Linked DNA regions of Xenopus tropicalis. The protein of the gene in region 1 purifies or fractionates together with the protein of each later gene. This does not show direct contact. Links are inferred from orthologs where the notes say so. Each region holds a gene or a part of one and is shown in the gene's direction. Other genes may lie near its edges.

Region 1 (3,285 bases):
TTGTTTTATACTGGATTTATTTTCAAACATGTAGGCCACAAACCAAACTTTAAAGGGATATGTAGTCAAACAATTAGCCCTTTTAATGTGGCTGTTATTTTGTACCACATTTGAGGTTCAGATTTTATATACAGTGGAGGAAATAATTATTTGACCCCTCACTGATTTTGTAAGTTTGTCCAATGACAAAGAAATGAAAAGTCTCAGAACAGTATCATTTCAATGGTAGGTTTATTTTAACAGTGGCAGATAGCACATCAAAAGGAAAATCGAAAAAATAACTTTAAATAAAAGATAGCAACTGATTTGCATTTCATTGAGTGAAATAAGTTTTTGAACCCCTACCAACCATTAAGAGTTCTGGCTCCCACAGAGTGGTTAGACACTTCTACTCAATTAGTCAACCTCATTAAGGACACCTGTCTTAACTAGACACCTGTCCACAGAATCAATCAATCAAGCAGACTCCAAACTCTCCAACATGGGAAAGACCAAAGAGCTGTCCAAGGATGTCAGAGACAAAATTGTAGACCTGCACAAGGCTGGAATGGGCTACAAAACAATTTGCAAGAAGCTGGGATAGAAGGTGACAACTGTTGGTGCGATTGTTCGAAAATGGAAGGAGCACAAAATGACCATCAATCGACCTCGCTCTGGGGCTCCACGCAAGATCTCACCTCGTGGGGTGTCAATGATTCTGAGAAAGGTGAAAAAGCATCCTAGAACTACACGGGAGGAGTTAATGACCTCAAATTAGCAGGGACCACAGTCACCAAGAAAACCATTGGAAACACATTACACCGCAATGGATTAAAATCCTGCAGGGCTCGCAAGGTCCCCCTGCTCAAGAAGGCACATGTGCAGGCCCGTCTGAAGTTTGCCAATGAACACCTGAATGATTCTGTGAGTGACTGGGAGAAGGTGCTGTGGTCTGATGAGACCAAAATAGAGCTCTTTGGCATTAACTCAACTCGCTGTGTTTGGAGGAAGAAAAATGCTGCCTATGACCCCCAAAACACCGTCCCCACCGTCAAGCATGGGGGTGGAAACATTTTGCTTTGGGGGTGTTTTTCTGCTAAGGGCACAGGACAACTTATTCGCATTAACGGGAAAATGGACGGAGCCATGTATCGTGAAATCCTGAACGACAACCTCCTTCCCTCTGCCAGGAAACTGAAAATGGGTCGTGGATGGGTGTTCCAGCACGACAATGACCCAAAACATACAGCAAAGGCAACAAAGGAGTGGCTCAAGAAGAAGCACATTAAGGTCATGGAGTGGCCTAGTCAGTCTCCGGACCTTAATCCAATAGAAAATTTATGGAGGGAGCTCAAGCTCAGAGTTGCACAGAGACAGCCTCGAAACCTTAGAGATTTAGAGATGATCTGCAAAGAGGAGTGGACCAACATTCCTCCTAAAATGTGCGCAAACTTGGTCATCAATTACAAGAAACGTTTGTGCTTGCAAACAAGGGTTTTTCCACTAAGTATTAAGTCTTTTTTTGTTAGAGGGTTCAAAAACTTATTTCACTCAATGAAATGCAAATCAGTTGCTATCTTTTATTTAAAGTTATTTTTTCGATTTTCCTTTTGATGTGCTATCTGCCACTGTTAAAATAAACCTACCATTGAAATGATACTGTTCTGAGACTTTTCATTTCTTTGTCATTGTACAAACTTACAAAATCAGTGAGGGGTCAAATAATTATTTCCTCCACTGTATTTATGTATTTTAGAAGTTCAATGATTTTCTAATTTCTCTGCCACAGACAACACTCCACTGCTGTAGCCAGCTTTTCCACAGACCTCTGTAACCCAGTAAAAAGTACCTTGGATGTTTGGATAAAGCCAACATCTTTAGATCTTTCCAGTGCAGGCCCCTTTGGATTTAGTTGGGTATGCTGTATAACCTTAAGGGGAAGGATCACATTCATCTGTAGTATGCATTAGAAAGTGCAAACCATTAATCCTGGGTCATTTTTTGCTGCACAGTTTTCATATTATTTTATCTTTTGTTATGCTGGTCTCTAGTTTCCACTGTAAACAGTTATCTGGTAGTTAGGGCCCCACTAGTCCTAGCATCCTGGCTTAGGATCTAATGGCAGACTGGAACACAGAGGCTCTATTTGGCTTGGTATCTTTGTTTGCAGGTGCTACTAAAGCATTGTAATATGTGGTTATTATGTGACTCAGATTGCTTTGTACTTTCTTATACAGAAGCAGATCCTCGCCTCATAGAATCTCTCTCTCAGATGCTTTCCATGGGCTTCACAGATGAGGGAGGATGGCTCACTCGGCTCCTGGAGGCAAAACAGTTCGATATTGGGTCTGCTCTGGATGCCATGCAGTCTATACGCCACATTCCTCCCTCCTAAGCAAGACTTTGAGTTCAGCCATTCTGTTGTTCCCTTTCTGTCCTTATTTGTATTATCTGTTTGTTAGTGTAACCTGATTTCACACACTGTTGGTACAAGAGAGTCAAGTCCTTTTTTCTTATTGAAGTTAAATAAAATTTTCTTTGTCTGCTCTAAAGCATTCATTTATTCAATTCATAACTTCTATGAGTTTCTGCTTCTACAGTGTCAGTTAAACAAAGGATACTGTAACCAGCAAATATTTCTGTGCACTGAGTTCAGTCACACTTTATGGTTATGGTTACAGGGGATGGTAAAAGAAGTTTTTATCCTGGTAATAAGCATAAAATCAAGGGAAATGTCTTTTCAGACTGTGCTATTCCTGTACTCAAAGTAACAAAAATAAAACTTATCCAGTGCACTTAAAAGTCAGTTCTGTGTTTGACTGGACCTCTGTTCTTATTTCCTTAAGTTGGGGCCGGTAGCATTACACACATTTTTTTTTTCTAGCCCTTGTATGCTAAAATTGTTATGTCCATCCTAATATTTTATACATTGTTAAATCAAAAAGTTTAAATCATCTTTACTGGGTCAGCAAGATGGCTGTCATAGCAAAAATAAGCCCCACTGAAGAATTTTCTTGCATCTATAGTTCAGCTTGGCACTGCTGCTTTGTAAGGCTCAGAAATGCAATGAAGGGACTTTATGAAATGCTCATAAACCCTTTAATTGTATATATAAGCATTTTTTCAGTCCTGCCTTAACGCAATCTACTCATAATCTTGCTGTTATCTACTGTAAGAGATTACTAAACCTGGCGATATTATTCAAACATCAGAAGGGCAGACACTGTTTTCTTTGGTTGTAGAAGAAATAAGACAACCATTGCTCCTCTGAATACTTTAAATGTAATTTTCTATTTTTAGGGGTTT
Region 2 (4,220 bases), on another chromosome or scaffold:
CACAGAAACACCTAATATAACTGTCTCTGTAATCTGCTCCTATGGAGAAATCCAGCTGCAAAACAGTTGCAGGGGAGGAGGGAATTAAACATTGATGTTACAAATTGTAACAATTTCTCCACAACTTAAAAACAGCATGCAAAAACTACACAACCCACAGTGCACAGTGATGTTCCTTTCCTTATTGACATCACATATGCAGGGAATTCCAGGATTTGGGAGATGTTGTCTGAAGGCAGGCTGACACAGTCGACTACTGTTACATTTGTTTGAGTCTCAAAGTAGTCAGCCAAATAAGCAGGAAAACAAGGGGGCTAGGATTAGTTAACTGTCCCAAACCATATTATTACATAAAAAATTATTAAAAGGATGCATATTTTTTAAATTGATATAAATTGCAAAGTTGCTTGAAATTATATATACTTTTCAAAAAGCTTAACTTGTGTTTGGGTGGAGTTCCCCTTTAAGTCATGCAAGTAAATATTCGAACTATGGGTCGATTACTCACTCTGCCTTGATGCAAAAATCTGTAGATGCCTATTACCATCAATACTTTAAACTTCCAGTATACTAATACAGCAATATATTCATATTCGCAGTAGGTTACACTGCATTTAGGCCCCATTAGGAAGGGCACCTAAATGCACAAGGCTAATTACAGATAGGGTACACAGCATATAACCATTTCTGTTCCTAAGTACCTGACAGAGCCCTTTTGGGCACAAAGCATTGCTCTTTCCACTTTGGAAGATGAAAAAAATTAACTGCAGTGTCCCAGAGGGTGAATAGAGATAGGGATATGGGTAAACCTAGGAAGCTTAGTTAGAAAAGTGCTGGTGATTTGGAGCACGTTTTGGAAAGGAAAGCCAGGGGGCAATACCAAAATGCTACATGTAGTAGGGGTGACTTCTTCATGTAAACATTGAAGCAGGGCTGTACAATAAGTGGGTATATACAATGAAAACTTACCGATAACTGAAATAAGAGGGCATGCCCGAAAGAGCTTGCAATCTGAAAGTATAATGACCCTTGAATCCTGCCCATTCCAATCCACGCACCCTATTTTTCCTCCCTAAAAAGGATAAAACGTTATCAAATACATGAATCCTTAAAAGCTCTGTCTACTACAAGCTCTAAAATAAAAGAAAACGTGGTTTGTTGCTATAAGTACTTTGGCGCTATTTAGCCCCTATGCAAAGGAAAATAAAACCTAGTTAAATATCCCACAATGGAACGAATAATCAATTCGTATTTAATGGAACTACAACATCTACATTTACGCAAACTTATTTGTCTCGGACTGACCACACACATACACTGTTGAAGCATTTTATTGTGGTTGTTTACAGCGCCGCCAAGGTCGCCATCTGGTGGCCTCCTAAGATATTGCGGCGCTGCTCCACCTCTCCCCGCCCCCGCAGCCTGACGTTCGCTGGCAAGCGCAGCAGCCCGGGAAGATGGCGAGCAGAACCATGTTGGTGGCTTTGAGTAGGACAAGCAGAGCCCAGGCCTGCGGGCTGAGACCTTTGGCAATCAGGTGAGAAATTGCAAGGAAATGTCAGTCTTCTTGCTGATAGGCCACTGCTGGATCTAACAGTGCGCAAATGATACCTCTATGTACGTCTCGGGGGTGGAGCAGGGCAGAGACAGCTAATAATTGCGCCCGTAAATGCGCTCGCTATGTCGGGGCGCTAATACTGTTTAGCAGAATTACACAGATCAGTGTGGGTTCTGTGCCAGTTTAATGCATGGTGGGTAGAAGTGCAGCTGGCACAGAGCAGCTGCGGGGAGATTCCGCTCAAGGTCACTATTTGTGCAGGCAATGTGTTCCCATAGGCTAAGCGGCACAACAGATGGAAAGTGGCTGAGCGGTGTGGCCCTATTTACTGTTACTAGAGCAGTGTTGCTCTATTACTGTCACTAATTATGTTAAAGGAATACTAACATGAGAAAGCATGTTTTTTTTCCCAAAACACATAAGTTAATAGAGCTTGTTTTCAGCAGAATCCTGCATTAAAATCCATTTTCAAAAACACAGATTTTTATTTTATAGTTAATTTTGAAATGTCAATACATAGTAACATAGTAAGTTGGGTTGAAAAAAGACATACGTCCATCAAGTTCAACCATAATGCCTATATATAACCTGCCTAACTACTAGTTGATCCAGAGGAAGGCAAAAAACCCCATCTGAAGCCTCTCTAATTTGCTGCAGAGGGCAATTGGACCAGTCCCATGATCAACTAGTACTAAGAGCTATCTCCCCAGGGCCGGATTTCTGTTTTGGGTGCCCTGAGGCCACCCCTGTCGGTCGCCCCCTCCCCACCCGTGCGCATGCACGAAAGTGCCCCCAGTGCGCATGTGCGAAAGCGCCCCCCCGTGCGCATGCGCGAAAGCGACACCACCAGTGCGCATGCACTCCTTTAAACTCCCATACGGAGCAGTGGGGAGAGGTCCCGACTGCTCCGTATGGGAGCCAAATTTAATTTTTTTTTTGCGGCGGGGCGGCATGCCGCCCCTAAACTTCTGCCGCCCTAGGCCCGGGCCTTTGTGGCCTTTCCACAAAGCTTTTTGGTAGAAACGCTATAGCTCCCAGCTTCTGAGGTGTCAGAATAATACATATATCTTGGATATTGAAACTTAATATTTCATATCTCACATACATACATATGTGTAGAATAATGTGTGTACGTTTTTTCTTGTAAGATCATCATTTATTATACAATGTGGTATTGTATATGCATACACTGGGCTTGTTTACAAAGTTATTAAAGGCCCATAAACAATTATAGCACCATACACCTGTGAAAATATACAGGGAGGAAAAATCTAATATTGCTTCAGTGTGTTCCCTGCATATATGTACTAGTGCCTAGTGCACCATTTGCTGGCCCTAGTTCCAGTTTATCATTAACTACTAAAGACCGGTACTCTACACTACTTCAGTGTATGCACAGCTTTTTTTACTGGATGGCAACTGCAAAATAGATACATGTGTGGTAATATGGGATGGAGAAAACTGAAATTGTTCAGGGATAAAATGTAACTTTATGTTTAAAGTTCCTTTCTCTTACTGTATTATACCATGATTTGTAATGTAACAACAGCCATTTTATGCAATGCAGTTTAGTGGGGGTCGAAACGCAATGGGTTTCCTTATGTGAATAAAACTTTTTTGGACTAAGCTTTCTTGAGTGCTATGCTGTTTTTATACTATTTTGAAAATTTTGGGTATCTTCTAGGGGACCCCGCAGTGAGCATCATAAAGAATATATTTACATATATATAGTAATAAAGGAGTGTATCACTAAATACTAATTCAATCCAAAGTGTTCAACTGAGCTAGGTTAAATCCTTATGTCATGTGATGTTACATTTATTGGTAATTGAACATGACAGTTTGATGTTTACAAAAGTTTGAAAACCCCCTCAAAATGACCCCCAGTATCATATAGATATATATTGTAACAACACAGAGACACCACGCATTCCTTGGTCTTTTAAAGTATACTTTATTAAATCATGCCAAAATCAACATTTTGGTTCTTAGAGCATTTCTCAATACAGAAAGCCAAAACATTGATACTGGTATGATTTGATAAAGTATATTTTAAAAAGTTGTGGAGTGCAACATAGTATGTGATTCTTTTCCAAGCACCCAGGCATTGAAAATTTATTTAATCACATAATGTCAATATACAACATTTCCGTACTCATTAGGGCCTATCAGTACACTCGTATATATATATCTATACTAAACTAACTTTATATGTGGGTTGGCCTTTTGTTGGTTGATCTTTTCTATATAGAAAAAGAACCCCACTGTTTGTCTATACTTTTTATATATACTTGTAAAGAGTAATCATGTCCTATGCATAGGTTAGAATAAGTACAAAATGTTGTTTTCTTAAAAAATTCTTTGTGTGCACCACAATAGGCAAAACTATGTTTTTGTCAATCAAAATCTATTGTGCACAAAACCATTCTGGCGCAAAATCATAGTATTGTAATCGGCATTGTATTCAATTCTTATACCATATTACCCCTCCAAAATCTTTTTAACCACCAATGTCAAACTAACGTCTAGAAACCTAAATCAACTCCAAAGTCAAATCTTCAGAATGGCAGAGGGCACTGAACGGAATTTCTTATTTAGCAGTAAGTATTCCCCAGTCAGCATGTTGCATATATCCATAGGAATGCTGGCTGCCCTTTATCAG
Region 3 (3,953 bases), on another chromosome or scaffold:
GTGCCTTTATATGGGCACAGAACCCCTCAGTGACTGCTAATATCCTTATCATTTACAGTAGGGGGTACATTATCCCATATAATACATGAGTGATACTCAGAGTTCCCTGTATAACTCAGCCTGCAGCCTTGTGCCTTTATATGGGCACAGAACCCCTCAGTGACTGCTAATATCCTTATCATTTACAGTAGGGGGTACATTATCCCTTATAATACATGAGTGATACTCGGAGTTCCCTGTATAACTCAGCCTGCAGCCTTGTGCCTTTATATGGGCACAGAACCCCTCAGTGACTGCTAATATCCTTATCATTTACAGTAGGGGGTACATTATCCCTTATAATACATGAGTGATACTCAGAGTTCCCTGTATAACTCAGCCTGCAGCCTTGTGCCTTTATATGGGCACAGAACCCCTCAGTGACTGCTAATATCCTTATCATTTACAGTAGGGGGTACTTTATCCCTTATAATACATGGGTGATACTCAGAGTTCCCTGTATAACTCAGCCTGCAGCCTTGTGCCTTTATATGGGCACAGAACCCCTCAGTGACTGCTAATATCCTTATCATTTACAGTAGGGGGTACATTATCCCTTATAATACATGAGTGATACTCAGAGTTCCCTGTATAACTCAGCCTGCAGCCTTGTGCCTTTATATGGGCACAGAACCCCTCAGTGACTGCTAATATCCTTATCATTTACAGTAGGGGGTACAGATATGGTAACTATTGTGCTTGTACAAGGAAACCTTCCTGTATTTAACAAAGCAGCATTTCTTCCACACTTTATGGTAGAGGTTCAAGCCCTCTATAACAGAGTACAGAGACGCAATGGTCCTTTCTGAAACCCATTGTTAACATCATTCACCTCATAAATCTGAGCTTTCACAGAAACCGATTGGGATAAGAAAGCCTAGCTAAGCAAAGGAACCAATTGCACAGTGTAAATAAAAGATATTCGGATAAATTCACAAAATCCAGCCTTGATTATCCAAAAGTTAAAAAAGTTGAAAGAAAACTACAAACGTAAGAATTTTCCCACAAAGAACTACAACTCCCAGCCTCCCCTGCTCCATTCCGCGCAGGCGCGATGCCTGTACTGATGCTCTTAAAGAAAAGGGGCAAAGCGACGCTCCCTGGAGAGTTCTGTGATTGGTCGATAAGAACGCCAATCAAGCGGCGGGCTGGATCAAGTTCCCCAGCCGCCTGTGTGTGTGTGCGCTAACTGTGGCTGCAGAGAGGGGAGGCTGCTGCTGTACGGGCAGCGGCTGCGTCAGCTCCGGGCCGCCGGCAACATGATGAAGTTTAGGTTCAGGCGGCAGGGCCATGACCCGCAGAGGGAGAAGATAAAGCAGGAACTGTTTGCCTTCAACAAGGTGGGTGTTGTTGTGCGGGGAGCCCTAGTGCGGCTGTGTGCTTTGTGCTGCACTGGCTCTGTATGGGGCTCAATTATTAACCCCCCCCCGTGTAGTACTTCATGGTATCTCCCTTCCCCTAGGTCTATGGGACCCCGTTTTCCCCTCTGTGTATGGAACCCCCTCCCCATTTACTGGGGATATTACTCTCTGTATGTCCCCTATACACCCCCTAATTACTGTAGGTATTACTCTGTATGTACCCTATACACCCCCTAATTACTGTAGGTATTACTCTGTATGTCCCCTATACACCCCCTAATTACTGTAGGTATTACTCTGTATGTACCCCTATACACCCCCTAATTACTGTAGGTATTACTCTGTATGTACCCTATACACCCCCTAATTACTGTAGGTATTACTCTGTATGTCCCCTATACACCCCCTAATTACTGGTGTTATTACTCTGTATGTCCCCTATACACCCCCTAATTACTGTAGGTATTACTCTCTGTATGTCCCCTATACACCCCCTAATTACTGTAGGTATTACTCTGTATGTCCCCTATACACCCCCTAATTACTGTAGGTATTACTCTGTATGTACCCTATACACCCCCTAATTACTGTAGGTATTACTCTGTATGTCCCCTATACACCCCCTAATTACTGTAGGTATTACTCTGTATGTCCCCTATACACCCCCTAATTACTGTAGGTATTACTCTGTATGTAGCCTATACACCCCCTAATTACTGGTGTTATTACTCTGTATGTACCCCTATACACCCCCTAATTACTGGTGTTATTACTCTGTATGTACCCTATACACCCCCTAATTACTGGTGTTATTACTCTGTATGTCCCCTATACACCCCCTAATTACTGGTGTTATTACTCTGTATGTCCCCTATACACCCCCTAATTACTGTAGGTATTACTCTCTGTATGTCCCCTATACACCCCCTAATTACTGTAGGTATTACTCTCTGTATGTCCCCTATACACCCCCTAATTACTGGTGTTATTACTCTGTATGTCCCCTATACACCCCCTAATTACTGGAGTTATTACTCTATATGGCACCCCCATCTTCAGTTACTGGGAATATTACTCTGTATGTTGCCTATGCACCCCCTAATTACTGGGGATATTACTCTCTGTATGTTGCCTATGCACCCCCTAATTATTGGGGATATTATTCTGTGTATGGCACCCCCTTCCCAATTACTGGGGATATTACTCTGTCTGTAGCCTGTGCACCCCCTAATTACTGGAGTTATTACTTTACTTTGTGTATGGCACCCCCTCCCCAATTACTGTGGATATTACTCTCTGTATGAAGCCTATGTGCCCCTAATTACTGGGGATATTACTCTCTGTATTTAGCCTATGTGCCCCTAATTACTGGGGATATTACTCTGTATGAAGCCTATGTGCCCCTAATTACTGTGGATATTACTCTGTATGAAGCCTATGTGCCCCTAATTACTGGAGATATTACTCTCTGTATGAAGCCTATGCGCCCCTAATTACTGGGGATATTACTCTCTGTATGAAGCCTATGCGCCCCTAATTACTGGGGATATTACTCTCTGTATGAAGCCTATGTGCCCCTAATTACTGGGGATATTACTCTCTGTATGAAGCCTATGCGCCCCTAATTACTGGGGATATTACTCTCTGTATGAAGCCTATGCGCCCCTAATTACTGAAGTTATTACTCTGTATGGCACCCCCTTACCAATTCCTGGGGGTGTTACATGCTGGTTGCTGAGAACTAAAATCCAGTCATGTACAGGAATTGCTTGTGAGCAGCTCCCCAATACTGTGAGCGTTTGTACTTTCCCAATCCTTCTATGGTGACACCCCAATCAGATGTGCATTGGCTGCTGTTATGTTAGGGCCCCCCCTTTAGTGCCGGATTCTGATGTGTACGAGGCGCTCCTCTCTTCTGTATCAGCCCCATGTTGTGTGTGTGACTCCCCCCTCCTTTAGCAGTGGAATGGAAAAGAGACCCCTCCGCTATTGCTGAAGTATGTGCAGGAGATCCAGTTAGTACTGATAAGTAACTGTCTGTGATGATATTGTGTAACTAGTATTTACACAAGGCACCAACTAATTCCGACGGGGTGGATACATGAAACAGATAACCTTTGTATAACAACTAATAATGGGGGCAGTGAGGGCCATGCTCATTAGGGCTCTTTCCACCTTGTTACCCCCAGATACCTCATACCTAGTGTCGTACCCCCAACCACCTTAATATGTAAGCCTGATACAACCCAAACTTAGAGCAGTGATGGGTAACAATTGTAATTTCAGGGGCCTCTTATGTGGCCCCCAAAAGGGCTTGAACATAATTGGAGTTGAAAGCTGTATCTGCACTGCTGGTCTCCACTGTTGAAACAATGTAGCAAGCACCAGCTGATTTACAGACAAGTTTATTTATGGGTTAATACAAACTTTTTTGTTGTTGTTGTGAAATACGTGCAGGGTTGATTGGGGGGAGGAGTCTCATGGAGCTGCAAATGCTTCCGCAGCCCCATAGGGGTTAATGCTAACTTCATTCACTGTTGTGTTTTGTACTCA
Region 4 (4,271 bases), on another chromosome or scaffold:
AAAGGGTATTTGTGGCTCTTGTATATTATATAGTGAATAAAGTACCCCTTATTGTAAAATATAGGGATATTATAAGTCACAGAGGGGTTCCATCAGGGTCAGACTGAGGGGTTGCAGGGCCCAATTAAACCCCCCCAAGAGACCCCCATGTGGCCCCCGCCGCCCACCCAACCCCCGAGCGCATATACTTAGGCACATCGAGAGAGGACAACCTGCGTGCCCCGGATCGGTCTGGGTTTTTTCCCCAGTCCCATGACCATATAAAGGTACATATATACATATATAATATACAGTAATTTCCCTATGGGACCAAACCATAAATGATATCCTTATAAATGGTGAGTAGTAATGTCATCAGTTATAATCTGAGCTTGGTGATGTCATTTCTGTCACATGACTCACTTAAACTTGTATATTATAATAAATAAAGTACCCCTGTTGTAAAATATGAGGATATTAGAAGTGACCTATGATTTCCATGACCTTTATGGTCATGGGACTTCTCTATGACTTATAATATCCCTATATGTTACAATAGGGGGTACTTTATTCACTATATAATATACAGGAGCCACAAATACCCTTTATATGGCCATGGAACCCCTCTGTGACTTATAATATCCCTATATGTTACAATAGGGGGCACTTTATTCACTATATAATATACAGGAGCCACAAATACCCTTTATATGGCCATGGAACCCCTCTGTGCCTTATAATATCCCTATATGTTACAATAGGGGGTACTTTATTCACTATATAATATACAAGAGCCACAAATACCCTTTATATGGCCATGGAACTCCTCTGTGCCTTATAATATCCCTATATGTTACAATAGGGGGTACTTTATTCACTATATAATATACAAGAGCCACAAATAACCTTTATATGGCCATAGAACCCTTCTGTGCCTTATAATATCCCTATATGTTACAATAGGGGGTACTTTATTCACTATATATAATGATACAGACACACCAGGGAGCCATGTGAGCAGTGACATCACTAAGCTTCCATTCTAAGGGATGACATCACTAAGCAGCATTGTTAAGGCTATGACATCACTAAGCAGTAGAATTGTTAGGCTCAGTCTATAGGCAGATAGCCTAACATTAACCCTTCTGTGACACCCACCCCAGTATATACCAGGCAGCTAGTTGGCCTCTGATAATGACTTGCTAAACAGCCCTTAGGGAGCGATTAGGCAGCAGCAGAAGGTGAGAGGGGAAAGAAATCCCAAATAAGATCAGTGCTAAAGCCCCAAGCTGCGCTGGGTTTGCCCCCCCCCCCCCCCACAGAAAGGGGATCCGGGGAAGTGAGACAATGGGCAGGGAGGGGGGAGGAGAGCGGTGGGTGGGGCTTGCCGGGAGGGCGGGGCTTGCCGGGCTGCAGCCGTAGAAGTGTATGGAGCTTGGGGGCGGAGGCACAGCGCTGCTCTCTCTCTCACAGCCTAAGGATTGTGCGTTGTGGATCTCCGGGGGATCCCGCCCGCTCCCCGTTCGGCCGCCTGTGACCCCTCTCCCCGCACCCCGAGTGTCGCCCTGTGGATTTAGCGCAATACCGGCGCAATACCGGCGCAGCGAGGCTCCTACAAAAGGACTGGCGCTCCCCCTTTCTCCCTCCGCCTCCTTTTCTCAAACAGCCTCCGTCCGTCTCCCTTCCCCCAGTGCCTGGGATCCCATGCCCGCCGGGAGCCTGCCTGCTGCCCTGGTAAGTACCTCTCCCCCGGGGTGGATTGTGCCGGGTACATTGTGCCCCCCATGGGTGGGTGAGAGTGGTACAGTCTCCTTGCTGTGCCCTCAAACTGCCTGCTGCTGCCTGCAACTGCCTGCTATCATTCTATCTATCATTCTATCCTACATTGGCTTCCCAGGTACATGCCTTTCCCTATGTTACTGTGGGTTTCACTGGCCTGCTTGGCATTTGGGCCCCTGTACCCATATTCCCTAGCCCTGCACCCAAGCCCTCTGGTTAGAGCTGGGTGCCACTGACTATTATGGGTCCGGTTACCCTGATGCCTGGCCTCCCATTGGCTCTGGGTAGCAGCTAGATGTGGGGTTCCATGGCCCTGCACCTCATCCCTCTTTTCAGCCTAAATCCCATTACCCTGAGCCTTTGCCCTCCCAGTAGCTCTGGGCCCTGTGGCCCTGCACCTCATCCCTTGCTTTAAGTCTGGATCCAATTACTCTGACCCTTAGACCTCCCATTTGCACTCCAGCCCTTCCTGTATATATACCCCTCATGGTCCAATTACCCTAAAACTTGGCCATCCTATTAAATCCTGCCCTCGCGGCCCTGCACCTCATCCCTTCTTTCAGCCTGGATCTAATTACCCTAAGCCTTTGCCCTCCCATTAGATTGGGGCCCTATGGCCCTGCACCTCATCCCTTCTTTCAGCCTGGATCCAATTATCCTGATCCCTAGACCTCCCATTTGTACCCCCCCCCATTAGATCTGGGAGCCACCCATCTTTCCCTTTAGATCTTGCCCTATTGCCCTACACAACAGCCCCCCCCCCCATTAGATCTGGGAGCCACGGCCTTGCCTCTTATCCCTATTACTGCTGATCCATAGCCTTCCCTTTAGATCTAGCCCTATTGCCCTACACAACAGCCCCCCCATTAGATCTGGGACCCATGGCCTTGCCTCTCATCCCTATCACTGCTGATCCCTGCTGAAGCCTTCCCTTTAGATCTAGCCCTATTGCTCTGCACCCCAGCCCCCCTATTAGATCCCCCTTGTCTCTCATCCCTATTACTCCTGATCCCTATCCTTCCCTTTAGATCTTGCCCTAATGCCCTGCACCCCAGCCCCCCCCCCCCCCCCCATTAGATCTGGGAGCCACGGCCTTGCCTCTCATCCCTATTACTGCTGACCATAGCCTTCCCTATGGACCTTGCCCTATTGCCCCGCACAGCAGCCCTCCTGTTGGATCTAGATCCGACCGCCCTGATTCTCCTGCATTCATCAGATCAAGCATGGGCTAGTTGAGGCCCTCCAGATCTTTTTAAGATGCAACTCCCAGCACCCCTCCTTCAGCAGCATCTGGAGTATCTCCCATTAAGTAAGCCTGATCCTTCATTTTGCCTTTGATTCCCATTCCCCTGGTTAGATCCATAGCTGCGGCATTCCCATGGGAAGCTGGGGGTGTCAGTGATCCTTTCAGCACTGCCTGAGCCTTACTAAGCCTGGCACAGAGCACTCGCAGCAGCCGCATTTCCCTTCCCAAGGCCTTGAATTCCACTGAAATCCCTGCAAGGCCCCACCAAGCCAGGGACTCTCCTGACGGATCAGCCTGGGTCATAAGTCAGTTGCCTGGGGCGGGTTGGTTTGGGGAGGAACTGCCAACGTTACACTTCACACCCAATCCACACCGGCCGTTCTGCACTCAATTGTTTCCCCCGTTGCTAGCCTCTCGGGAAGGGCCGTCTGGGCCGGCCTGTTTACTCTCCTACAGAACACAAATAGGTGTTTATTGTTCTACATTCATGCCATAAAGGAGCGATGATAACACCACGGTGTAGTAAAGCAGAGCCTCATTAATAATTAACCACAAAGCTGCGAACAACAAAAAAATACAGTTAAAGACTGTGAATGTATTTTTGGGTTTATTTCCCCTTTAGTGTGTGTATAATCTGTCAGTATATACGATTTACATGCGTGTGCATTAAATGTTTGTGTGTGACCTAAAATTAATGAATTTGAAATGCATTCCGAGCCCAGTAATTGAGTGTCAGGGTCAAGTATCTGTGAAGGGGGGGTGGGTAGATCTATCAGGGCACGGCGGGGGTGGCTGTTTCCCACTGAATGGGACAGAATTACAAAGGAGAAAGGGTGATAGTGTTGGTCCTTATAAAAGAAAAAAAAAAGTGACATTCCCACCCCATGAGAAGGAGCGTTAGTGAAAGGGCTGGGAAGATGATTTAGGTGCCTGGGGGGTTCATTCAGATGGTACCTGCCAAAAAAGTAGGGTTGGGGGGTAACAGGTGGGGAGAATAAAAACAAGTTATAGCATAGGGTATTGGGTTCATAGTCCAGAAATCTTGGCGCTGGTTTGGCTGTAGTTATAGCCAGGATGTGCAGCTCTGGTGATGGTTTTCGGTAGTGGTGGGTATTTGGCACATGAATTACCCCAGGCTGGTGCGGATGGTGGGTCAGGCGTAAATGTAGGCATTTAAAGCTTGCATTGGCCACTGCATGGGGCCTTTCTGACCAATATATGGCAAGATATCTTTGAAAATTAGGCTGGTGTTGTGACCCTCTCCCTG
Region 5 (4,252 bases), on another chromosome or scaffold:
GCAGCCAGCCTTTTTTTTACCCGCAAGCCACACCCAAATGTAAATAAAGTTGTGGAGCAATACAAGCATGAAAAATGTTCACAAGGGTACCAAATAAGCGCTGTAATTGGCTATTTGGTAGCCCCTTTGTGGACTGGCAGCCTACAGGAGGTTCTGGTTGGCAGTACAACTGATTTTTATGAAACCAAAACTTGCCTCCAAGCCTGGAATTTAAAAATAAGCACCTGCTTTGAGGCCACTGAGAGCAACATCCAAGGGGGTTGGGGAGCAGTGTGTTGCTCACGAATCACTGGTTGGGGATCACTGCTGTATAATATATACATTGTTTATCTCTGTATAGAAATTTCTTAGGGTTCTAGTACCAACTGCTTGTTGGTAATTGGTTCTTGCACTCCTGAATACATCATGTCCTTATGCAGCACCTTCTGCTTGCTTAAATTGTGTGCTTATATCTTAATCTAAACATGAATATGGGTGCTTCTTTCTCTGCGGGGCCCAGACCAACATGCCATTGTCAACTTGTGACTGGTTTGGATATCAGCACTTGTCAGCACAATGCATTTACCAAACCTAGAGAAAATTATGCTTCCCATCTAATGGGAATGATGCTTTACATTTAATAGCTTTGGGGACCACATTAAATCTCTTTTGTTCCTAGACCCAACTTTTTTATTTTACTATCATATTACATCACTTGACTCCTTATTTAGGTCACTGGAGCCTGTTAATGTTAAATTCATAACAAAAATTGTTTATAAGCCCTCCTGTTGTTGTAGGAATACTTTTCCATGTAATACCAATGCAACAGTCAGGGTATGCTAAAAGTTGTAGTTCAGCAACATGTGGACTGTTGGTTGAGTGCCTGAAATACCAGTTTATGCCTATTTAGGAGTACAGTATAGGTACCAGACTTGAACCGATGGCTGTCTGAAGCAGCTAGGGTGTCAGGAGGGTAATTTAATGGTGGTTAGAAGTGTCATACTGGTGTGGATATAGGAAGGCACTGATACTGTAAGTAGGGTTGCCTCCTTTTCTGAAAAGTAATGCCGGCCTCCCTATATTTTTGTGTTTTTCCCGGTAATCACGTTGGCATTAATTATCATTTTTACTGACCAAGTGGCAACCCTAACTGTAACGCAAACCAGTCATTACTGACCCTCATATTTGGGGAACTCCTGATGATATATACAAATCCAAAAATCAGGGCACTTGTCAGATAGACATCAACACTGGGGTACTAAATTCAGTTCTGACAGGTCCACTGTTTGCAAGGAGTTTGTATGTTCTACCTTTGTCTGTCCGAGTTATACAGGTGCTCCAGTTTCCACCAAAAACATGCAGCTTAATTGGCTTGTGAGAAACTGACTAGCATGCAGGCCTCTAAGCTCCTATTAGGCTCCGCCTGTCCTCTCTCCCTCCCCTTGCTGGCTCAGTGCAGCAGCCCTAGGTTTCCTGTATTCACAGTCTGTAACATGCTGACTAGGGTAGCCCGGATTTCTCCTTTGCTCCAAAGCTCTGGGCCCAGCTCGGGGTACCTGCCGCTGCAGTTATGTAGGTAAGCAGCTGTGTGGCTCGTCTTTCTCTTTCTAGTGGCTTTACAGTTAAATATAAAATGGTTGCTTGCCCATGCCAGTTACCTGTCAAGAAGAAAGCAGTCCATTAGGCTTGCAGTGAAGCAGCAGCACAGTCACCTGTACATTCACCTGTCAGGGAGACTGCAACAGCTCTTGGTTAGGTTTATATTGTAGTTAGTCAGTGCATGTTCCTCTCCAATGCTGTGGGTATGCATTTACAATCACTGAATGCACTTACTATGTACTGTTGCACTTCCCTGGTGTAATGTAGGACTAGGTGCATGAGCTTTGATTTATTTGCTGTTTTTGGCAGATTGCAAGATGTCAACAGCATACTGCTTTTAACCCTTGCTGTTTTCGGCAGATCTTTTAATTACATTATCACTAGAATTAGAAAAGTACCTGCTTGCTGTGAATATTGGTACACAATGGGCAAGTCTGGTGCCTGATGAGCAATTCTGAAAGTTATGGGAACTGCAGAACTACCAGATTTATGTGGTGTTTTACAAGCCTGTTTAAAGTTCTGTGAATACTTGGTTGTTTTTTTGCAGAGTATTGTAGTGCTTGTTACCTGCCCCCTCTGTTAATAGGTTCCAAGTGCCTGTTGTCAGAGAAGATGTATAAAGGTCATGTTTGTTTGAGCTCTGTTAGTGGAAACCTCTGCACGTGAGCATCAGTGGATGATAAAGCATTTTGGGTTAAATCTGTGTAAATCCTCATACTTTGTTTCCACATGCTATTGCTTATAACTGACAAAATTTGTAATACCTTTTAGAAAGAGGATTAAAGTAATTGGTGTGTTTACGTGAATAAAGGTATGAACACTAGCAGCTGAGTTTGTGAAAAAATTATTTAAACTTAAATTTAATTTTAAAGGGGTTCTGGATTCTTCCAGTGAGTACCATGAAGCAATCATCTTCCTGCTTTGTAGTTCTTGCTACCCCATGGCTGACACATGTGCAGTAGAGTCAAAGAGCCACCGTTTGTAAAAATTTGGCATGAAGAGGATTGCTCCATGGTGCTCGCCAAAATAACCCCATGCTGGTGCAGTTTCTTCCAACAGGAGCACCAACCTGGAGTATCGTATAAGTGAATACATTCACTGGGTGGTGCCCAACTTTTTTGGATTCCCCTTACAATTGTGACTTTCCTTTTCCTTTAAGAAAAAAAAATACTTTTGGTATACATGCAGTATACTGATTATGATTGCACATTTCTTAATTCCTCTCTTTGAATTTAGATATGGCTCGGATTCCAGAGATAGTAGTTGGCTTCGCTCTCTCTTCGTGCGCAAGGTAGATCCTCGCAAAGATGCACATTCCACTTTATTGTCCAAGAAGGAGACGAGTGGTCTCTACAAGATGCAGTGTGGGTACCTAGTAAAAACTGTGGTTGTGCTGAGGGAAAATAGTAGCCATTCCTTCTGAATCTATATGTACAGATGAGTACAATAAGATGGTGCGAAAAGCACACAAAGTTGCTAATCAGCATTTTAAAGGTGGTTTAACTTTAAGTTAAGTATGTTATAGAATTCCTAGCAAATTTGCAATTGTTCACAATTATTTTGATTTTTAATTTTTAACCTTCCTTTATTTTGATTTTTAATTATCTACCTTCCTGTACTATGTCTTATTAGCTTTCAAATGGGGGTCACTGACCCCAACAGCCAGAAACACTATTGTTCTGTGAAGCTACAGTTTTATTGTTATTGTTACTTTTTTAATTCTTATATTCTTATTGAGTCCCTCACCTTTTCATGTTCCAGAATCTCATTTATATAACTTCCTGATTGCTAGGGTAAATAAGACCCTAGGCGAACTTACCCTTTAGGGCTCTGGCACACGGGGAGATTAGTCGCCCGCGGCAAAACTCCCTGTTCGCGGGCGACTAATCTCCCCGAGTTGCCTTCCCCTGCCATCCCATCGGCGACAATGTAAGTCGCCGGTGGGATGGCAGACGTGGCGGGGTGATTTCGGGAAATCGCCGAAAAAGACCCGTGAGTCTTTTTCGCCCGATTTGCGCGAAGTCGCGCCGCCGCGTGTGCCATCCCACCGGCGACTTACATGTTTGCCAGTGGGATGGCAGGGGAGGGCAACTCGGGGAGATTAGTCGCCCGCGAACAGGGAGTTTTGCCGCGGGCGACTACTCTCCCCTTGTGCCAGAGCCCTTAATCAATTTTTGTCACCATAACTAAAAACAAAAATGTGATCTTTTAAACCTAAAATACCTAAAATACTACCTCCAGTATGAAAACGTATTTTATAATGTTCAGAATACTAAAGGGAAACAGTTCCAAATATATATATACTTTGTATCCCCAATTGCCTCCTTTATGCCATGTGGCAGTTGCACAAGACCTTTTTTTTTAAGAGTCACATATGGAAGAAGGAGTGAGCCCTTTAAAAAGAAATGTGCATCCTCAATGGACAGTAATGTAACTTGGTGATGCCGGGCCCCCCTGCAAAAAAAAAAAAAGGCATTAACTGTGGTACAGCAGACCCTATAGTCCATGCCCCCCACCCATGACTGGGATCAATATCCTTTTAGGAAGAAAATGTAGTGCCACCTTACTTGCCTTTCGCAGGCATGCCTTAGACCTATTTTATTTCACTACAGTTGCCCTTTAAAGGTTAAGTTTATGCAATACAAAAAAAAAAAAAATCTTAGCCTGAGAGAAT
Region 6 (4,101 bases), on another chromosome or scaffold:
GCTGTGTAGCAGACAGTACGTGGGGGTTACTGCCCCAGGGCTGTGTAGCAGACAGTATGTGGGGTTACTGCCCCAGGGCTGTGTAGCAGACAGTATGTGGGGTTACTGCCCCAGGGCTGTGTAGCAGACAGTATGTGGGGTTACTGCCCCAGGGCTGTGTAGCAGACAGTATGTGGGGGTTACTGCCCCAGGGCTGTGTAGCAGACAGTATGTGGGGGTTACTGCCCCAGGGCTGTGTAGCAGACAGTATGTGGGGGTTACTGCCCCAGGGCTGCGTAGCAGACAGTATGTGGGGGTTATTGCCCCAGGGCTGTGTAGCAGACAGTATGTGGGGTTACTGCCCCAGGGCTGTGTAGCAGACAGTATGTGGGGGTTACTGCCCCAGGGCTGCGTAGCAGACAGTATGTGGGGGTTACTGCCCCAGGGCTGCGTAGCAGACAGTATGTGGGGTTACTGCCCCAGGGCTGCGTAGCAGACAGTATGTGGGGGTTATTGCCCCAGGGCTGCGTAGCAGACAGTATGTGGGGTTACTGCCCCAGGGCTGTGTAGCAGACAGTATGTGGGGGTTACTGCCCCAGGGCTGCGTAGCAGACAGTATGTGGGGGTTACTGCCCCAGGGCTGCGTAGCAGACAGTATGTGGGGTTACTGCCCCAGGGCTGCGTAGCAGACAGTATGTGGGGTTACTGCCCCAGGGCTGCGTAGCAGACAGTATGTGGGGTTACTGCCCCAGGGCTGCGTAGCAGACAGTACGTGGGGGTTACTGCCCCAGGGCTGTGTAGCAGACAGTATGTGGGGGTTACTGCCCCAGGGCTGTGTAGCAGACAGTATGTGGGGGTTATTGCCCCAGGGCTGTGTAGCAGACAGTATGTGGGGTTACTGCCCCAGGGCTGTGTAGCAGACAGTATGTGGGGGTTACTGCCCCAGGGCTGTGTAGCAGACAGTATGTGGGGGTTATTGCCCCAGGGCTGCGTAGCAGACAGTACGTGGGGGTTACTGCCCCAGGGCTGCGTAGCAGACAGTATGTGGGGGTTACTGCCCCAGGGCTGTGTAGCAGACGGTATGTGGGGGTTACTGCCCCAGGGCTGCGTAGCAGACAGTACGTGGGGGTTACTGCCCCAGGGCTGTGTAGCAGACAGTATGTGGGGTTACTGCCCCAGGGCTGTGTAGCAGACAGTATGTGGGGTTACTGCCCCAGGGCTGTGTAGCAGACAGTACGTGGGGGTTACTGCCCCAGGGCTGTGTAGGATAGGAGGAGGACATAGGATAACAAAACAAGCACAGGAATCCATTCTAATTAATCCCTTTTTCCTATTCAGATAACTGCCCGCCCCCTGTCCCCCCCTTACAGTATTTACTGCAGGGGCAGGACTACAAGTCCCAGAATGACTCTGTGTTTGCAGTAGGAGGGACAACGTTTGTTGTTGCTCTACACTACCCAGCATGCTTCACTCCAAGCAAACCAGGAAACGAAACCTGCTGTGACTGGGAGGGGTTTCCCCAATATCACATGTCCACCATCAACCAATTAGCTTTCAGTTTCTTCTGTCGCAACTACTGTAAGTCCTACGAGTTCTTCTCATTCTGTGAGTGAGAGGTTGTTCCGTCAGTAAATCCCGGTGAGTATGAGTGTGTGTCCCCCAGTCACTCAGTGAGTATGAGTGTGTGTCCCCCAGTCACTCAGTGAGTATGAGTGTGTGTCCCCCAGTCACTCAGTGAGTATGAGTGTGTGTCCCCCAGTCACTCAGTGAGTATGAGTGTGTGTCCCCCAGTCACTCAGTGAGTATGGGTGTGTGTCCCCCAGTCACTCAGTGAGTATGGGTGTGTGTCCCCCAGTCACTCAGTGAGTATGAGTGTGTGTCCCCCAGTCACTCAGTGAGTATGAGTGTGTGTCCCTCAGTCACTCAGTGAGTATGAGTGTGTGTCCCCCAGTCACTCAGTGAGTATGAGTGTGTGTCCCCCAGTCACTCAGTGAGTATGAGTGTGTGTCCCCCAGTCACTCAGTGAGTATGAGTGTGTGTCCTCCAGTCACTCAGTGAGTATGAGTGTGTGTCCCCCAGTCACTCAGTGAGTATGAGTGTGTGTCCCCCAGTCACTCAGTGAGTATGAGTGTGTGTCCTCCAGTCACTCAGTGAGTATGAGTGTGTGTCCCCCAGTCACTCAGTGAGTATGAGTGTGTGTCCTCCAGTCACTCAGTGAGTATGAGTGTGTGTCCTCCAGTCACTCAGTGAGTATGAGTGTGTGTCCCCCAGTCACTCAGTGAGTATGAGTGTGTGTCCCCCAGTCACTCAGTGAGTATGAGTGTGTGTCCCCCAGTCACTCAGTGAGTATGGGTGTGTGTCCCCCAGTCACTCAGTGAGTATGAGTGTGTGTCCCCCAGTCACTCAGTGAGTATGAGTGTGTGTCCCCCAGTCACTCAGTGAGTATGGGTGTGTGTCCCCCAGTCACTCAGTGAGTATGAGTGTGTGTCCCCCAGTCACTCAGTGAGTATGAGTGTGTGTCCCCCAGTCACTCAGTGAGTATGAGTGTGTGTCCCCCAGTCACTCAGTGAGTATGAGTGTGTGTCCCCCAGTCACTCAGTGAGTATGAGTGTGTGTCCCCCAGTCACTCAGTGAGTATGAGTGTGTGTCCCCCAGTCACTCAGTGAGTATGAGTGTGTGTCCCCAGTCACTCAGTGAGTATGAGTGTGTGTCCCCCAGTCACTCAGTGAGTATGAGTGTGTGTCCCCCAGTCACTCAGTGAGTATGAGTGTGTGTCCCCCAGTCACTCAGTGAGTATGAGTGTGTGTCCCCAGTCACTCAGTGAGTATGAGTGTGTGTCCCCCAGTCACTCAGTGAGTATGAGTGTGTGTCCCCCAGTCACTCAGTGAGTATGAGTGTGTGTCCCCCAGTCACTCAGTGAGTATGAGTGTGTGTCCCCCAGTCACTCAGTGAGTATGAGTGTGTGTCCCCCAGTCACTCAGTGAGTATGAGTGTGTGTCCCCCCAGTCACTCAGTGAGTATGAGTGTGTGTCCCCCAGTCACTCAGTGAGTATGGGTGTGTGTCCCCCAGTCACTCAGTGAGTATGGGTGTGTGTCCCCCAGTCACTCAGTGAGTATGAGTGTGTGTCCCCCTGTCACTCAGTGAGTATGAGTGTGTGTCCCCCAGTCACTCAGTGAGTATGAGTGTGTGTCCCGCAGTCACTCAGTGAGTATGAGTGTGTGTCCCCCAGTCACTCAGTGAGTATGGGCTCTGTCAGCCATTAGTGTGTGTCCCCCAGTCACTCAGTGAGTATGGGCTCTGTCAGCCATTAGTGTGTGTCCCCCAGTCACTCAGTGAGTATGGGCTCTGTCAGCCATTAGTGTGTGTCCCCCAGTCACTCAGTGAGTATGGGCTCTGTCAGCCATTAGTGTGTGTCCCCCAGTCACTCAGTGAGTATGGGCTCTGTCAGCCATTATTGTGTTTCCCCCAGTCACTCAGTGAGTATGGGCTCTGTCAGCCATTAGTGTGTGTCCCCCAGTCACTCAGTGAGTATGGGCTCTGTCAGCCATTAGTGTGTGTCCCCCAGTTACTCAGTGAGTATGGGCTCTGTCAGCCATTAGTGTGTGTCCCCCAGTCACTCAGTGAGTATGGGCTCTGTCAGCCATTAGTGTGTGTCCCCCCCCAGTCACTCAGTGAGTATGGGCTCTGTCAGCCATTAGTGTGTGTGTCCCCCAGTCACTCAGTGAGTATGGGCTCTGTCAGCCATTAGTGTGTGTGTCCCAGTCACTCAGTGAGTATGGGCTCTGTCAGCCATTAGTGTGTGTCCCCCAGTCACTCAGTGAGTATGGGCTCTGTCAGCCATTAGTGTGTGTCCCCCAGTCACTCAGTGAGTATGGGCTCTGTCAGCCATTAGTGTGTGTCCCCCAGTCACTCAGTGAGTATGGGCTCTGTCAGCCATTAGTGTGTGTCCCCCAGTCACTCAGTGAGTATGGGCTCTGTCAGCCATTAGTGTGTGTCCCCCAGTCACTCAGTGAGTATGGGCTCTGTCAGCCATTAGTGTGTGTCCCCCAGTCACTCAGTGAGTATGGGCTCTGTCAGCCATTAGTGTGTGTCCCCCAGTCACTCAGTGAGTATGGGCTCTG

The links. Proteins that work in one complex are often made in the same cells at the same time.
Region 2: the proteins of sqstm1 (region 1) and nipsnap2 purify together in Homo sapiens (affinity purification with mass spectrometry; 4 studies listed by BioGRID and IntAct, with this or other methods). This does not show direct contact. The link is inferred for Xenopus tropicalis from reciprocal best matches to the Homo sapiens genes SQSTM1 and NIPSNAP2.
Region 3: the proteins of sqstm1 (region 1) and llgl1 purify together in Homo sapiens (affinity purification with mass spectrometry; 3 studies listed by BioGRID and IntAct, with this or other methods). This does not show direct contact. The link is inferred for Xenopus tropicalis from reciprocal best matches to the Homo sapiens genes SQSTM1 and LLGL1.
Region 4: the proteins of sqstm1 (region 1) and vangl2 purify together in Homo sapiens (affinity purification with western blotting; 3 studies listed by BioGRID, with this or other methods). This does not show direct contact. The link is inferred for Xenopus tropicalis from reciprocal best matches to the Homo sapiens genes SQSTM1 and VANGL2.
Region 5: the proteins of sqstm1 (region 1) and nipsnap1 purify together in Homo sapiens (affinity purification with mass spectrometry; 4 studies listed by BioGRID and IntAct, with this or other methods). This does not show direct contact. The link is inferred for Xenopus tropicalis from reciprocal best matches to the Homo sapiens genes SQSTM1 and NIPSNAP1.
Region 6: the proteins of sqstm1 (region 1) and trim25 purify together in Homo sapiens (affinity purification with mass spectrometry; 3 studies listed by BioGRID, with this or other methods). This does not show direct contact. The link is inferred for Xenopus tropicalis from reciprocal best matches to the Homo sapiens genes SQSTM1 and TRIM25.

What each region holds. Positions count from the first base shown.
Region 1 is NC_030679.2:22,196,071-22,199,355, reverse strand, and holds the end of sqstm1 (sequestosome-1), read left to right. Parts: intron 1-2,216; coding exon 2,217-2,374; 3' UTR 2,375-2,785; downstream 2,786-3,285. UniProt on the Homo sapiens protein: Molecular adapter required for selective macroautophagy (aggrephagy) by acting as a bridge between polyubiquitinated proteins and autophagosomes.
Region 2 is NC_030678.2:98,152,533-98,156,752, reverse strand, and holds the start of nipsnap2 (protein NipSnap homolog 2), read left to right. Parts: upstream 1-1,420; 5' UTR 1,421-1,457; coding exon 1,458-1,537; intron 1,538-4,220. UniProt on the Homo sapiens protein: Protein involved in mitophagy by facilitating recruitment of the autophagy machinery required for clearance of damaged mitochondria.
Region 3 is NC_030685.2:16,025,426-16,029,378, reverse strand, and holds the start of llgl1 (lethal(2) giant larvae protein homolog 1), read left to right. Parts: upstream 1-1,153; 5' UTR 1,154-1,298; coding exon 1,299-1,379; intron 1,380-3,953. UniProt on the Homo sapiens protein: Cortical cytoskeleton protein found in a complex involved in maintaining cell polarity and epithelial integrity. Involved in the regulation of mitotic spindle orientation, proliferation, differentiation and tissue organization of neuroepithelial cells.
Region 4 is NC_030684.2:137,173,455-137,177,725, reverse strand, and holds the start of vangl2 (vang-like protein 2), read left to right. Parts: upstream 1-1,471; 5' UTR 1,472-1,713; intron 1,714-4,271. UniProt on the Homo sapiens protein: Involved in the control of early morphogenesis and patterning of both axial midline structures and the development of neural plate. Plays a role in the regulation of planar cell polarity, particularly in the orientation of stereociliary bundles in the cochlea.
Region 5 is NC_030677.2:144,799,783-144,804,034, forward strand, and holds the start of nipsnap1 (protein NipSnap homolog 1), read left to right. Parts: upstream 1-1,452; 5' UTR 1,453-1,472; coding exon 1,473-1,555; intron 1,556-2,814; coding exon 2,815-2,942; intron 2,943-4,252.
Region 6 is NC_030686.2:52,267,935-52,272,035, forward strand, and holds the start of trim25 (tripartite motif containing 25), read left to right. Parts: upstream 1-1,301; 5' UTR 1,302-1,557; exon of another isoform or gene 1,558-1,617; intron 1,618-4,101.